2 linked regions of the Anolis sagrei genome follow. The protein of the gene in region 2 interacts with the protein of the main gene of each other region in a biochemical or structural test. Links are inferred from orthologs where the notes say so. Each region holds a gene or a part of one and is shown on either strand. Other genes may lie near its edges.

What was found. The genes of interacting proteins can lie anywhere in the genome.
Region 1: the proteins of MIS18BP1 (region 2) and OIP5 form a complex in vitro, tested with the Homo sapiens proteins (2 studies listed by BioGRID). The link is inferred for Anolis sagrei from reciprocal best matches to the Homo sapiens genes MIS18BP1 and OIP5.

The regions. Positions count from the first base shown.
Region 1 is NC_090021.1:288,820,696-288,828,093, reverse strand, and holds the start of OIP5 (protein Mis18-beta), read right to left. Parts: upstream 3,018-7,398; 5' UTR 2,990-3,017; coding exon 2,680-2,989; intron 284-2,679; coding exon 217-283; intron 1-216. Other genes in the region: NUSAP1 (nucleolar and spindle-associated protein 1), read left to right, coding at 5,644-5,739. UniProt on the Homo sapiens protein: Required for recruitment of CENPA to centromeres and normal chromosome segregation during mitosis.
Region 2 is NC_090021.1:342,640,021-342,647,407, reverse strand, and holds the start of MIS18BP1 (mis18-binding protein 1), read right to left. Parts: upstream 3,018-7,387; 5' UTR 2,821-3,017; intron 1,180-2,820; 5' UTR 994-1,179; coding exon 417-993; intron 1-416. UniProt on the Homo sapiens protein: Required for recruitment of CENPA to centromeres and normal chromosome segregation during mitosis.

The DNA.
Region 1 (7,398 bases), about 54 Mb from region 2:
CAGCTTTTGCGCTTTCTTCTTTCACCTTGATTAGAAGGCTCCTCAGCTCCTCCTCACTTTCGGCCATCAGAGTGGTGTCATCTGCATATCTGAAGTTGTTAAAGTTTCTTCCAGCAATTTTCACCCCAGCTTTGCATTCATCAAGCCGCGCACATCGCATTAATCACTTAATTTAGCATGCATAAAAGAGAAGGAATAATTTCAAGAAATACCCACCATCCAGTAAGATCTCCTTCCACACAAACCATCAAATCATCTTCCACAACAATATCATTTGTGACTTCTGAAAGAGAAAAACATTTAAAAAAAATTAAACTCCAAATTTTCTGCTAACAGATTTAATTATATTGCATACAAAATGGCAGTTTTTTGATGTCTCGCACACCCTTAATATATCGTAGCTCCTCTACATTTACCGGTGTTAGTGGCACATAGTCTCAAAGTGGGGAAAATGCAAATATAAATTGCAAATGCTACTTTTTACTTGAAAGAAGACTGCTCTAGCCATTTGTGGGACCCACAAATGCCTAGACAGAAGATACCACATGTTTTTGGCTGTGAGTAGAACAAAAGAGGTGGCATAAATACAGCAATTTGCAAATACAGCAATGAAATCTGCAAATTAACTGATCTGAAGAGCTAACTGTATCCTTCTAATCATTGCATGCTGCTTAAACACTTGACAGGAAATCTGACTGCAGAAAAATCTCAGTACATTTGCTGAACAAAAAAGAAACAGGTGAACTATTTTTATATTGTTAGATGGCCAGGAACAAAACAAAACAAAAGGAAAGGAAAGCAAAGCAAATACAAAGTAGGAATGAGGTAGCCTTCAAGGAAGTATGAATGTAATTGGGCTGGGAATATTTTTGAGGGTGAATCTACACAAATCTGGCCTGCCATGTCTTTCTGTGTAGTCCTCCAGATGCTGGATGACAACTCCTGTATTCCTCTTCATTAGACATGATTGGAGCTGATGTTCAATGTGAAAAAGTAACACCTGTAAGGTTGCAGTCTGTCATTTTTAGTCAGAATGATGGTGCCTGAATTTAGATATATGGCTTGTGGATATGATATTCGACTTTAACCTTTGTCCTTTAACCTTTCTCCAACCCCAGAGCCACATGTGCTGTTGGGTTGCAATTCCCATTTTCCCCAATCTGCATGGCAGATATTCAAAAGTTTATCATTTAATAACATCTGGGGACAGAACCACATTAGTTAAAGTGGTGTCAAGCCTTACAGTTGTCTTCAATGGGCCTTTGAATCCATGGAGGGAGAACCTGGTGTAGATTCATATAATCCAGTTCAGTCTGCATTATATGAGTCTACACTGATCATGTAATGCAGATAAGGCTTCTGTCCTGGGAGAAAAGCAGGGTATAATAATAATAATAATAATAATAATTTAAAAATAGTCCGTACCTGGATGCAACTCAGAACAGAGATAAAGTTCAGGTTCACTAACTCCTATCCAAAATCCATGGGACTAGCAATGTTTTTTAAATAAGAATGTTTAAAGATCTTGGAATACTTGCAGATACATTTCGAGATATTTTGGAGATGAGACCCAAAGCCTGAACACAACATTCATTTATGTTTCATATACATCTGAGATACATAGCCTAATGTTTATACTAGGGTGATTTTATGCTTTGTCTGAATATTTAAATGTTATGTATTTATGTTTAATGGTTTAAGTTGATTTTAAGTTCATAGTTATATGTAGTAATTACTTAGTTATTATGATTTGTCTACTGTATGTTGGCAATGAATTTTTGCCATTAGTACGTTGTAAACTGCCTTGAGTCCACCCAGGGCTGAGAAACGCGGCATATAAATACAGTATACAAACTTACACAATCTCTCTGATCATCTGGAGAGGCCCTGCTCACGATTCCACCTGCGTCACAAGCGCGTTTGGTGGGGACGAGGGACAGGGCCTTCTCTGTGGTGGCCCCCCGACTCTGGAACTCTCTCTTTAAGGACATCAGACAAGCCCCAACGTTGGCAGTGTTTAGGAAGAGCTTGAAGACGTGGCTGTTCCAGTGTGCCTTCCCAGAATAGGAAACGCCTAGCATCATGTCCCAAATGCACATTATTAGAGATTTAAGATTGTCTGCACACAGCACCTATCTCCAAAAACCTATCCATTTCACCTGTCATGTCCAGCATTTTTTAAATTTTATTCATTACATTTGGCCTGGCCTTAGTTTTAAATGTGTTGTGGTGTTATTGTCTAATGTTTATTGCTTTCTTTTATGAGTTTACTAATTGTTGTATTGTTATGCTGTTGTTTTATTGATGTGTTGGGCCTTGGCCTCTTGTAAGCCGCACCGAGTCCTTCGTGAGATGTTAGCAGGGTATAAATAAAGTTAATAATAATAAATAAATAAATAAATGTGAGGATACAGGGGGCCAAATATATTTTTCACATAGTTGCTTTTCATTTTTAGCCCATTTGTTATTGAATAACAACGCCCATCACTTCTGATTCATTCATTCTACTCAAGTGAGTTCCAAACTCGTCCTCCAGGTTCCCAGAATTCCTGACCATTGGACAGGCTGGCAATAGCTTCTGGGAGTTGGAGGCCCAAGCACTGGAGGACCACAGGTTGTCCCCACTTGGCGTAGCGAGGATGCGCCCAACCTCCGCTCTCCCGAGCTAGGCGAACTCACTGAAGCAGGCGAGGAGGCGGAGCTTCTCCTCCTGGGCGCACAGGTGAAGCGAGTCCCCCAGCACGGCGCGGCAACTCCGGCATTGGTAGAGCACGCAGTCCTCCGGTCTCAGGCCCCGAAAGCCGGGGAGCCGCTCCCAGGCACCCTCGGGCCTCTTGCTTGGCGGCGGCGGCGGCGGGCTGGGGCCTTTCGCTACTCCAGGTCCTGCCCGCTCCACCATGATGCCGCCACCCACTCGGGGCTCCTGGAAGAGCAGCTGCAGTTGCCGACGCACCGCCATCTTGTTTTCCGCCAAACGTTCAAACCTCATCCCCCGCCAAGCACGAGCCCGCCTTCTTCCACCGTCATTGGCTGGAGCTGCCCGCCCACGTTTCCGTTAGACCTAATCCCCCGCTTTCGTTAAGCACGCGCCCGCCTTCTCCTCGCCCATTGGCCTACTTTGCGGCTTGACCCAATCGGGTTTCAAGAATATAACACAAAGCGGGGGCGCGGGCGGTTTAAAAACAATTTTATTTGGACGTTTCCGTGGCCCAGGCAGGCCTCGAAGCCAACGTCTCTTCGGCACTTGACCTCCCACGCAGAGGCCTGTCTTTCTCTCGTAAGACCTGCAGACTCGGTTGGAGAGGAGAGAGCGGCTCACAACATTCACCGTGTTCCTTTGGCATTTTGGTACTCTCTTGTGCTGTGTGCGCGCGTGTTTTTATATGTATAGGTAAAGGTAAAGGTAGTCCCCGTTTTATATGTATACATTTCTTTAAAAAGACTCCGGGTTGTTGAATCCCTTCTCAGTTCCCCTTTTCTTTCCAAAGGGAAAATATGACATGCATTTATCCCCCTTCCCGCAATTCTCCCGGAATTCGGCTTTCTTTCTCGATGCGCTGTGAAAAGCAGCAATTCGGTTTCAAAGTCACGTGGGTGGGCGCTAGATCCCAGCTCCTTTCTGATGTTTTTGGGAAGGCTTCATTGTGTTGATTTTAAACTGCGCAGCTTTGTGTTTGAAATGCCTCTCGGTGATTGATTTGGTCTCAAAAACGGTGGCGGTTTGGTTCCTTTCCTTTTGAAAGCCTGGCCCTCTTAACTCAGCTCTTTTTTTTTTTTTTACATTTATGCTTTGGCGTTGTCGAAGGCTTTCATGGCCGGAATCACTGGGTTGCTGTGAGTTTTCCGGACTGTATGGCCACATTCCAGAAGTATTCTCTCCTGATGTTTCACCCACATCTATGGCAGGCATCCTCAGAGGTTGTGAGATCTGTTGGAAGCTAGGCAAGTGGCGTTTATATATCTATGGAATGTCCAGGCTGGGAAAAATAACTTTTTTCTGTTTGAGGCAGGTGTGAATGTTGTAATTGGCCACTTTGATTAGTATACAATGCCTTTGCAGCTTCAAAGCCTGGCCGCTTCCTGCCTGGGGGAATCCTTTGTTAGGATACGCTAGCTGGCCCTGATTATTTCATGCCTGGAATTCCACAGTTTTCTGAGTATTGCTCCTTATTTACTGTCCTGATTTTAGAGTTTTTAAATACTGGTAGCCAGATTTTGTTCATATCATTGTTTGAAATAACAGACTGCCTTAAAAAGTAAAACAACAAACACTGGACCTGCCAAAGGTATGCAATCTAAAATGCGGTGTGGAGTAGATCCTTGGTATCTGCTGAGGTTTGGATCCAGGGCTTTCACTGACACTGTTGGAGGCAGGTGTGAATGCTGCAGTTGTCCACCTTAATTAGCATTTAATGGTCTTGTAGCTTCCAAGCCTGACCACTTCCTGCCTAGGGGAATCCTTTGTTGGAAGGTGATAGCTGGCACAAGCACAGTTTGGGAGAGAAAGTTAAAGACTAAAGCAGGGGACCTCAAACTAAGGCCCGGGAGCCGGTTGTGGCCCTCCAAGGTCATTTACCTGGCCCTTGCTCAGGGTCAACCTAAGTCTGAAACGACCTGAAAGCACACAACAACAACAATCATATCTCATCAGGCGAAAGCAGGCCCACAGTTCCCATTGAAATACTTATAAATTAATATTTATTAAAATTGTTCATTATTGTAATTATTGTATTGTTTTTAAGTGGTTTTTGAACTAAAATAAGATATGTGCATTGTGCATAGGAATTCATGTTTGTTTGTTTTTTTACATTATAATCCTGCCCTCCAAAAGTTTGAGGGACTGTGACCTGGCCCTCTGTTTAAAAAGTTTGAGGACCCCCGGACTAAAAGGTTGGAAGAAAGAACTCTTGTTCTTTCCACAGATATATAAACCCCATTTTCCTAGTTTCCAAGAGATCTTACAACCTTTGGCCACATCATGAGGAGACAGCAAAGCCTAGAGAAGACAATGATGCTGGGGAAAGCGGAAGGTAAAAGGAAGAGGGGCCGACCAAGGGCAAGATGGATGGATGGCATCCTTGAAGTGACTGGACTGACCTTGAGGGAGCTGGGGGTGGTGACTGCAGACAGGGAGCTCCAGACAGGGAGCTCTGGCGTGGGCTGGTCCATGAGGTCATGAAGGGTCGGAGACGACTGAACGAATGAACAACAAACCATAGATACAGGCGAAAAGTCAGGAGAGAAGGCTTCTGGAACATGGCCATACAGCCAGGAAAACTTACAGCAACCCATTCATGCTTTTGTCGCCGGTTGATTTTATTCCCAACCCCCGGAGGATTGGTCTCTCCGCCAACTGGAAGGGTTGGGAGCTCGGCTGTTTCCGTTCTCTTTCCGAAAATGTACGAGAAGCTTGGGGAAAAAAACCCTAGAAAAAAATAACCTTTTTGTTTTGTTTCGCTGGCTCACGCGAAGGCATCCTATTGGCCACGGGCCTCCTTCAGGCACCGCCCTCTTCCGCGAGCGTCCAACCAATGCCGCGCGACGAGTGAAGGTTTGAAGGGAGAGCGCGCGAGCGGCTTCGAGGCGCGGCAGTTGGGCGCGGAGCTTTCCTTCCTTCCCTTTGGTGGCTGGAGGCGCCCAGTCATGGAGGTTTCTCCCCCGGAGGAGCGGCTGGAGACGCTCAAGTACAGCGAGCTGCAGTCCCTGGCCAAGGCTCTGGGGCTGAAGGCCAATCTCAAGGTGAGAACTTAGGTCTACCCTTAGTTGTTTATGTTTCCCAATGAAAACGAATTTATAAATTGCTATCTGCGACTAAAATGATCAAGGGTCTGGAGAACAAGCCCTATGATTAGCGGCTTAAGGAGCTGGGCATGTTTAGCCTGAAGAAAAGAAGGCTGAGAGGGGATATGATAGCCATGTATAAATATGTGAGAGGAAGTCACAGGGAGGAGGGAGCAAGCTTGCTTTCTGCTTCCCTGGAGACTAGGACGTGGAACAGTGGCTTCAAACTATAAGAAAGGAGATTCCATCTGAACATGAGGAAGAACTTCCTGACTGTGAGCCGTTCAGCAGTGGAACTCTCTGCCCCGGAGTGTGGTGGAGGCTCCTTCCTTGGAGGTTTTTAAACAGGCTAGATGGCCATCTGTCAGGGGTTCTTTGAATGCAATATTCCTGCTTCTTGGCAGGGGGTTGGACTGGATGGCCCATGAGGTCTCTTCCAACTCTATGATTCTATGGGGAATGGCACAAAGATAACACTGAATTGCCTCAGGGAACTGAGTTTTGAACGGTACTTAGAATGACAGAGACTTCTAGTGCACACCCTTGAATTACTATAGCCATGGTACCTTGAGAGGTAAGGCGCGGATGTTGTGGAAATTATTAGCTGGTGGAACATTCTAGCAGAACTCTTTAGAGTGCATCTGCATTGTAAAATTAATCCAGTTTGATACCACTTTTAACTGCCATGCCTTAGTGCTATGTAATCCCGGGATTTGTAGTTTGTTGAGGTACCTTTTAAAACTACAGCTCCCATGATTCTATATAGTTGAGCCATGGCAGTTAACGCAGTCTCAAACTGCGCTAATTCTATAGTGTAGGTGCGACCGAAGAAACTGAAGGTTTTGTTCCTTTAAGCTAGGCATGGGCAAACTTAGGCCCTCCAGGTGTTTTGGACCAACTCCCACAATTCCTAACACCCGGTAGGAATTGTATGTTTTTACCCTGTTTCCCCTTCTGCTCCCTCACCCATATTGTGTTTTTAGTAGTTATATTTATATTTTTAATGTACCAAACATGCCAGGTTTGTATGGAAATGTGACACTATTTCCTGTGCTGGTCAATGACCGAAATAAATATTTTGAAAAAGTCCAAAACACCTGGAGCGCCTAAGTTTGCCCATGCTTGCTCTAAGAAAAGTCTTGAACTCGGTTTTTTAGAGATTTGATGGAGCTTGAGGTGATGCGGTTTGATATGGAATTGAACTGGAATTTGTAGTTCGGTAAGACACCAGCACTCTGGACCTTGCAAGGCTACAACTCCCGTGATTCCATAGCACTGAACCATGACGGGAAAAGTGGTGTCAAACTGCATTCATTCTACTTTGTAGGATTCAAATCAAAGAAGGCCAATGGCTTGGTTGTTGTCCTCTTGTTACTGTTAACCGCCCAACTATTGGGCTGATCCACTTGGAATGAGCCCACTTGTGTGTCTCCAGAGAAACCTCTCTTCTCCGCTGAAGTATAGGATGCCCATTTTCCATTTTGAACCTTAGAAACTCCTGTTGGGGTCCAAAGGGGCAGCAAATTGTTTTCTTCTGAATCAGTGCACCTCAGGCTTTTTGGTTAGCTGGTCTGCAGTTTTTGTTTGGGCTAGTTTTTGTCCCCATATTTCTTCCTC
Region 2 (7,387 bases):
CTATTAACAGCAGCTAGACTATTAATTGCAAAATATTGGAAAGGGGCAATGAAAATACAGATTAATGAATGGTATAAAGAAATCTGGAAAATGGCATTGAATGATAAGCTAACATCAAACTTAAAAGTAAAAAAGGGATTATGTAAAAAATGACTTTGAAAGTATCTGGAGAAAATTTCTAGAAAAATTATTGGAAAGAGAAGATGGGAATTTATCTCCAAATGAAGAACTGATTTTTTTGGTGGGACTTTAAGAAAAGAGATGGCTCTGGAGAAGGGGAGCACAGGGGTGAATGTAAATAAAAGAGGGAAATGTATAGTATATGACTACATAACTATTTTCTCTTCTCAAATAATTTTTTTTAAAAAGGAAATGATGGATGAGGGATGTTTATAGACAGGAATGGAAGAACATACCTTTTCCCGCCTTGGCCTCCTCATGTGGCTCGTCATCCAGCGGTTCCTTTAGCTTCTCCTCTTTGGCGCTTGGTTTCTCGCCTTGCCTTCCCAAAAGGCCTGGATGTCTTGCAGGAGTGAGGATGTAGTCCGTGGTGCTGTTTGTGTGGGTGAGATTCCTTTCCAGAGGCGTGCCCTGCTGCACAGCCCGAAGAGCTGCCCTGATCTTCATGGCTGAGAAGATTTTTGACGGAGACTGAAAAGGCGGCCGCTCGCAAACCTTACTTTTGAGGAAGGTGCTCCCTGTCGGCGATATGGCTTCCTGCTTCACATCGCACAAAGTTGGCCCCTGTTCTTCAGTAACTGGCTTTATCTCGCTGAGGTCAAGAAATAATTTATCAAAAGGAGCACCAGCTATGAGAGTTGACTGGAGGGTTTTCCCCCCTTTAACCTCTTTTCTCAAGCCATTTTTTCTGCAGGGAAGAACCACTGAAGGAAAAACAGCTTCTTTGGCAACTGAAGTTCTATCCTCCCGAAATTTCCCCAAGTCTTTTAGAGGCGTGCCTCCAGGGATGATGCTGAGGGAAACGGCTTTCATCCCTCCTCTTCTACCAGAAGGAAATGGAGACAACAAAATCCCTCAAACTTTTTGCGAGGTAGCAAGTACCTTAACAAAACATGACTCTTCCATGTTGTTCCAATGGCAAAGTCTTTCAACTTGATGTCTTTTTTATTACTATGAAGAGAGGGTCATAAATTCCAGGTTTGTGCTTTCACATTTTAGCTAAAAAGAAAAATGCCGTGGTTAGTTTTGTGCTTAAGAACAAGTAACATTATTTGCATCAGACTCAAGTGACAAATACTGATTTTTATCCTAATTTTCAGGATACAAAACTCCCCACGTTGGCTGACAAGTGATCATAACAAGCTACCCATAATCTGAGGAAAGGACTGGATGGCAGACCAGGAATGCAGCAAACTTAATGTGTTAAGTTGTTAACTGTTTTTACACTGTTGCATTGAACTTTTGCTGTTCTTATTGGTTGTGAACTGCTGTGAGTCGCCTTTGGGCTGATGTTTCGCCTGCATCTATGGAAAGCATCCTCAGAGGTAGTGAGGTCTGTTGGAAATAGGGAAATGGGTTTATATATCTGTGGAATGACTGGGGTGGGGCAAAGAGCTCTTCTCTGCTGAAGCTAGGTGTGAATGTTTCAGCTGACCACCTTCATTAGCATTTGAAGGCCTGGCTGAGCCTGGGAAAATGTTCTGTTGAGAGGTGTTAAGAGGTGTTACCTCTGCAGGAGTCTACCGTGTACCATGCAGCTGTGGACAAGTCTACATAGGATCCACCAAACGTAGCAGCATTGCCCAAACACGCATCAAGGAACATGAAAGGCACTGCAGACTACTCCAACCAGAGAAGTCAGCCATAGCAGAGCACCTGATGAACCAGCCTGGACAGAGCACCTGATGAACCAGGAGTATGTCACAGCAAACGAGATCTATATGCTGAATTTCTTATCACAGAATCACAAGTCGAACACTTCCCAAGCGGGTTGTTGTAGGTTTTTTCGGGCTATATGACCATGGTCTAGAGGCATTTTCTCCTGATGTTTTGCCTGCATCGATGGCAAGCATCCTCAGAGGTAGTGAGGTCTGTTGGAAATAGGAAAAAAGGGTTTATATATCTGTGGAAAGACCAGGGTGGGACAAAGGACTCTTGTCTGCTGGAGCTAGGTGTGATTGTTTCAATTGACCACCTTGATTAGCATTTGATGGCCTGGCAGTGCCTGGAGCAGTATTTTGTTGAGAGGTGATTAGATGTCCTTGTTTGTTTCCTCTCTGTTGTTGTGCTGTGTTAGCACATTATTTGAGAACACAGCATATTATTTGAGAACACAGAAATGCTGGACCACTCTCACAACCACCATGTCAGACTACACAGAGAAGCCATTGAAATACACAAGCATGTGGACAATTTCAACAGAAAGGAAGAAACCATGGAAATGAACAAAATCTGGCTACCAGTATTAAAAAAAACTCTAAAATTGCAACAGCAAAACAGCAGAGAGGAAACAACCAGGCACATCTTAACACCTCTCAACAAAAGATTTTCCCAGGCTCAGGCAGGCCTTCAAATGCTAATGAAGGTGGTCAGCTGAAACATTCACACCTAGCTCCAGCAGAGAAGAGTTCTTTGTCCCACCCTGGTCATTCCACAGATATATAAACCCATTTTTCCTCGTTCCAACAGACCTCATTACCTCTGAGGATGCTTGCCATAGATGCAGGCGAAACGTCAGGAGAGAATGCCACTAGACCATGGCCATATAGCCCGAAAAAACCCACAAGAACCTAGTGATTCCAGCCATGAAAGCCTTCGACAATACATTGACTCAATAATAATAATAATAATAATAATTACTACTACTATTGTGTCTCTTCGTATCCATTCTCACCTTCAGCGGCTTCTTCTCCTCACAGACTAACCGCCGTTACGTTTGAATCTCCCCCGCGTAGCCTCCGCCGACGCTGATTGGTCGGAAAGCCGGAAGTGACGCCATCACGTCGTCGGCGACGGAAATGCCTCTGTCGGCCATTTTGGAGACGGGCAAAAAGAAGACATAGGCCAAGAGAAACTTGTCAGGCCTTTCGCTTCCAGTCATGAAGACACCAGTTAATGCTACTGCGGGCGGGGGGGGGGGACGGGACTACGTAATCTGTATTAAACGAAATGCCTCTAAAAGAGGAAGAAAGGCCTCTGAGGAGATATTCCCAGTGCGCATGCGCAGTACACTTCTTTCGCTGCTGAGCGTCTTGCAGCAGTTCTAGCGCATGCGCACATCCAAGTCTCATTCTCGCCTGGAAAGATCCCAGTGCGCATGCGTAGTTGCCTCTCTTCGCTGCTGAGCCTCTGACTGTATTGAGCAGTGCCTGAGTTTAGCGCATGCGCACATCCAAGCCTCTCATTCTCTCCTGGAAGGATCCCAGTGCGCATGCGTAGTTGTCTCTCTTCGGTGTCGAGCCTCTGACCGTATTGAGCGGGGCCTGGGTTTAGCGCATGCGCACATCCAAGCTTCTCATTCTCGCCTGGAAGGATCCCAGTGCGCTTGCGTAATTGCCTCCCTTCGTTGTGTAGCCTCTGACTGTATTGAGCGGGGCCTGGGTTTAGCGCATGCGCACATCCAAGCTTCTCATTCTCGCCTGGAAGGATCCCAGTGCGCTTGCGTAATTGCCTCCCTTCGTTGTCTAGCCTCTGACTGTATTGAGCGGTGCCTGGATTTAGCGCATGCGCACATCTAAGCCTCTCCATCTCTTCCCACGTTCTGGGAAGTGTCCCGGTTTCTTTCTTTCTTTCTCCCTTTGCGCTCAGCTTTCATTCATTGCTGTGCAAAAGAAGTGGAGAGGAAGAAGGAGAACACACATTGCAGATACTGTGTATCAAAGAACCTTAAAGCTATGTATATGTTATCTGTTATGTAAAACTTTAATGAATATTTGGTCTAGCATTTGATGGCCTGGCAGTGCATGGGGCAATCTTTCGTTGAGAGGTGATTAGATGTCCTTGTTTGTTTCCTTGTGCTGCTCTAATTTTAGAGTTTTTTTAATACTGGTAGCCAGATTGTGTTCATTTTCATGGCTTCCTCCTTTCCGTTGAAATTGACTACATGCTTGTGGATTTCAGCGGCTTCTCTGTGTAGTCTGACAACAACAAAAGATTGCTTCAGGCTCTGCCAGGCCATCAAATGCATTTGGGTTGAGGCTTTGGAGCTTTGCTGTTGTGTATTGGGGCTCATTTTGCATAGAGGCACATTGCATGTGGCTATTATAATTCATGTAGGTTTTTTCGGGCTATAGGCCATGTTCTAGAGTCATTCTCTTCTGACGTTTCGCCAGCATCTATGGCAAGCATCCTCAGAGGTAGTGAGGTCTGTTGGAAATAGGGAAATGGGTTTATATATCTGTGGAATGACTGGGGTAGGGCAAAGAGCTCTCTGCTGAAGCTAGGTGTGAATGTTTCAGCTGACCACCTTCATTAGCATTTGAAGGCCTGGCTGAGCCTGGGAAAATGTTCTGTTGAGAGGTGTTAAGATGTGCCTGGTTGTTTCCTCTCTGCTGTTTTGCCAAGCCTTCAAATGCTAATGAAGGTGGTCAGCTGAAACATTCACACCTAGCTCCAGCAGAGAAGAGCTCCTTGCCCCACCCCAGCCATTCCACAGATATATAAACCCTTTTTCCTAGTTCCAACAGACCTCACAACTTCTGAGGATGCTTTCCATAGATGCAGGCGAAACGTCAGGCGAAATGCCTCTAGAACATGGCCCTATAGCCCGAAAAAAACCTACAAGAACCTAGTGATTCCAGCCATGAAAGCCTTCGACAATACATTATTATAATTCAGCTTGAATTTCTGCATTTGGTTTGAGGCTGTGGAGTCATGCTGTTGTGCATAGAGACACATTGCACATGGCAATTATTTACACTATAGAATGAATGCAGTCTGAATTTCTGCATTTGGTTTGAGGCTGTGGAGTCATGCTGTTGTGCATAGAGACACATTGCACATGGCAATTATTTACACTATAGAATGAATGCAGTCTGAATTTCTGCATTTGGTTTGAGGCTGTGGAGTCATGCTGTTGTGCATAGAGACACATTGCACATGGCAATTATTTACACTATAGAATGAATGCAGTCTGAATTTCTGCATTTGGTTTGAGGCTGTGGAGTCATGCTGTTGTGCATAGAGGCACATTGCACATGGCGATTATTTACACTATAGAATGAATGCAGTCCGAATTTCTGCATTTGGTTTGAGGCTGTGGAGTTGTGCTGTTGTGCATAGAGGCACATTGCACATGGCGATTATTTACACTATAGAAAGAATGCAGTCTGAATTTCTGCATTTGGTTTGAGGTTGTGGAGTCATGCTGTTGTGCATTGGTGCACATTGTGAACATGAAGCAGGCACATTGTGCACCAATGCACAATGTGCACCAATGCACAAGAGTTGTGCTCTTGTGCATTGGTGCACATTGTGAACATGAAGCAGGCACACTGGATGATGCGCCTTCGGTTGCACCGCATTGATGTCCAGCCGAAAGACACTGTTGTTATTCCTCCTCCGTGTAAGGAAAGGTGTGCACATTTACGCCATGCAAATGTGACCCCTGAACTTGGGCGATGTTTACTCTCTGGGGCTCCCCCCCCCCCTTTTCCATGTTAGGAGTTCCCTCTGCGCCAAAGCGAAGCCCCTTCTAAGTCCCACTAAAACCATCCCCCTCCCTCTTAGGTTTTAAATCAATCAGAGCACCTTTGAAATGAGCAGAGGGTTCCACAAAGTGCTTTGCTTTGACTGGATTACGAAGGAACACAAGGCGCTGCCTTATCTGCAAGGCTTCAGGCTCCGGGAGAGGGGCAAAGGGACTCCTTATCAGCCAGAGGAAGCCATGCGCTCCACTTTAGAGATCCCTTTGCAGGGGAACCAGCACCGCATGGGTTGCACTTAGGAATGCATTGCAGGCTTAGCTCTCCATGGGACTCACTATGGGTCCCTGCCTCGATCTGGTAAGATCTGCACACAATAGGAAGCTGTCTGTTCCTATAGCCGATGCATCAGTAATGTATGAAATCTGCTCAGTGAAATTCCTGGAGACTTACTTACTTACTTACTTACTTAGGTGATCCCTCATTGTCCGAGGATGATGGTCCACCAAGTGGGTCCGTAGGTGACTGTGGAGTCCTATTTTAGACCTGCATCTTCTCCCGCACTGAGGGCATTGGTTTCCAGGTAGAAGGCAGTCCCGTTCATGGGTTGGCTTGACATGCCTTCCTCTTGGCATGTTTCTCTCTTTTGCCCTCCATTTGTGCCTCTTCAAATTCTGCAGCATTGCTGGTCACAGCTGACCTCCAACTGGAGCACTCAAGGGCCAGGGCTTCGCAGTTCTCAGTGTCTATGCCAAAGTTTTTAACGTTGTCATTGAGCCCATCTTTCAATCTCTTTTCTTGCCCACCAACATTCCGTTTTCCATTCTTGAGTTTGGAATAAAGCACCTGCTTTGAGAGATGGTGGTCGGGCATCCGGACAACGTGGCCGGTCAGCGGAGTTGATGGCGGAGGACCATCGCTTCAATGCTGGTGGTCTTTGCTTCTTCCAGCATGCTGAATCATTCCATCATGGAATGTGTCCAGAGGAGGGCGACTAAAATGATCAAGGGTCTGGAGAACAAGCCCTGTGAGGAGCGGCTTAAGGAGCTGGGCATGTTTAGCCTGAAGAAGAGAAGGCTGAGAGGAGATATGATAGCCATGTATAAATATGTGAGAGGAAGCCACAGGGAGGAGGGAGCAAGCTTGTTTTCTGCTTCCCTGGAAACTAGGACAAGGAACAATGGCTTCAAACTACAAGAGAGGAGATTCCATCTGAACATGAGGAAGAACTTCCTGACTGTGAGAGCCGTTCAGCTGTGGAACTCTCTGCCCCGGAGTGTGATGGAGGCTCCCTCTTTGGAAGCTTTTAAACAGAGGCTGGATGGCCATCTGTCAGGGGTGATTTGAATGCAATATTCCTGCTTCTTGGCAGAATGGGGTTGGACTGGATGGCCCAGGAGGTCTCTTCCAACTCTAGGATTCTATGATTCTAGGATTCCAGGAGTTGCATGTGGTGTCTGTAGACAGTCCACGTTTCTTCATTGCTTTGAACGAAATACAAATAAAGCATTGGAGCCATCAACTGCCATCAATTCCACTGGACCGGCCACATTGTCCAAATGTGGCCGAGCACCGTCTCTCAAAGCAGTTGCTCTACTCTGAACTCAAGAACAGGCATTGTAATGTTGGTGGGCAGGAAAAGAGATTTAGAGAGGGGCTCAAAGCTGACCTTAAAAACTGTGGTATTGACACTGAGAACTGGGAAGCCCTGGCCCTTGAACACTCTAGTTCGAGGTCAGCTGTGACCAGCAGTGCTGTAGAATTCGAAGAGACACTAATGGAGA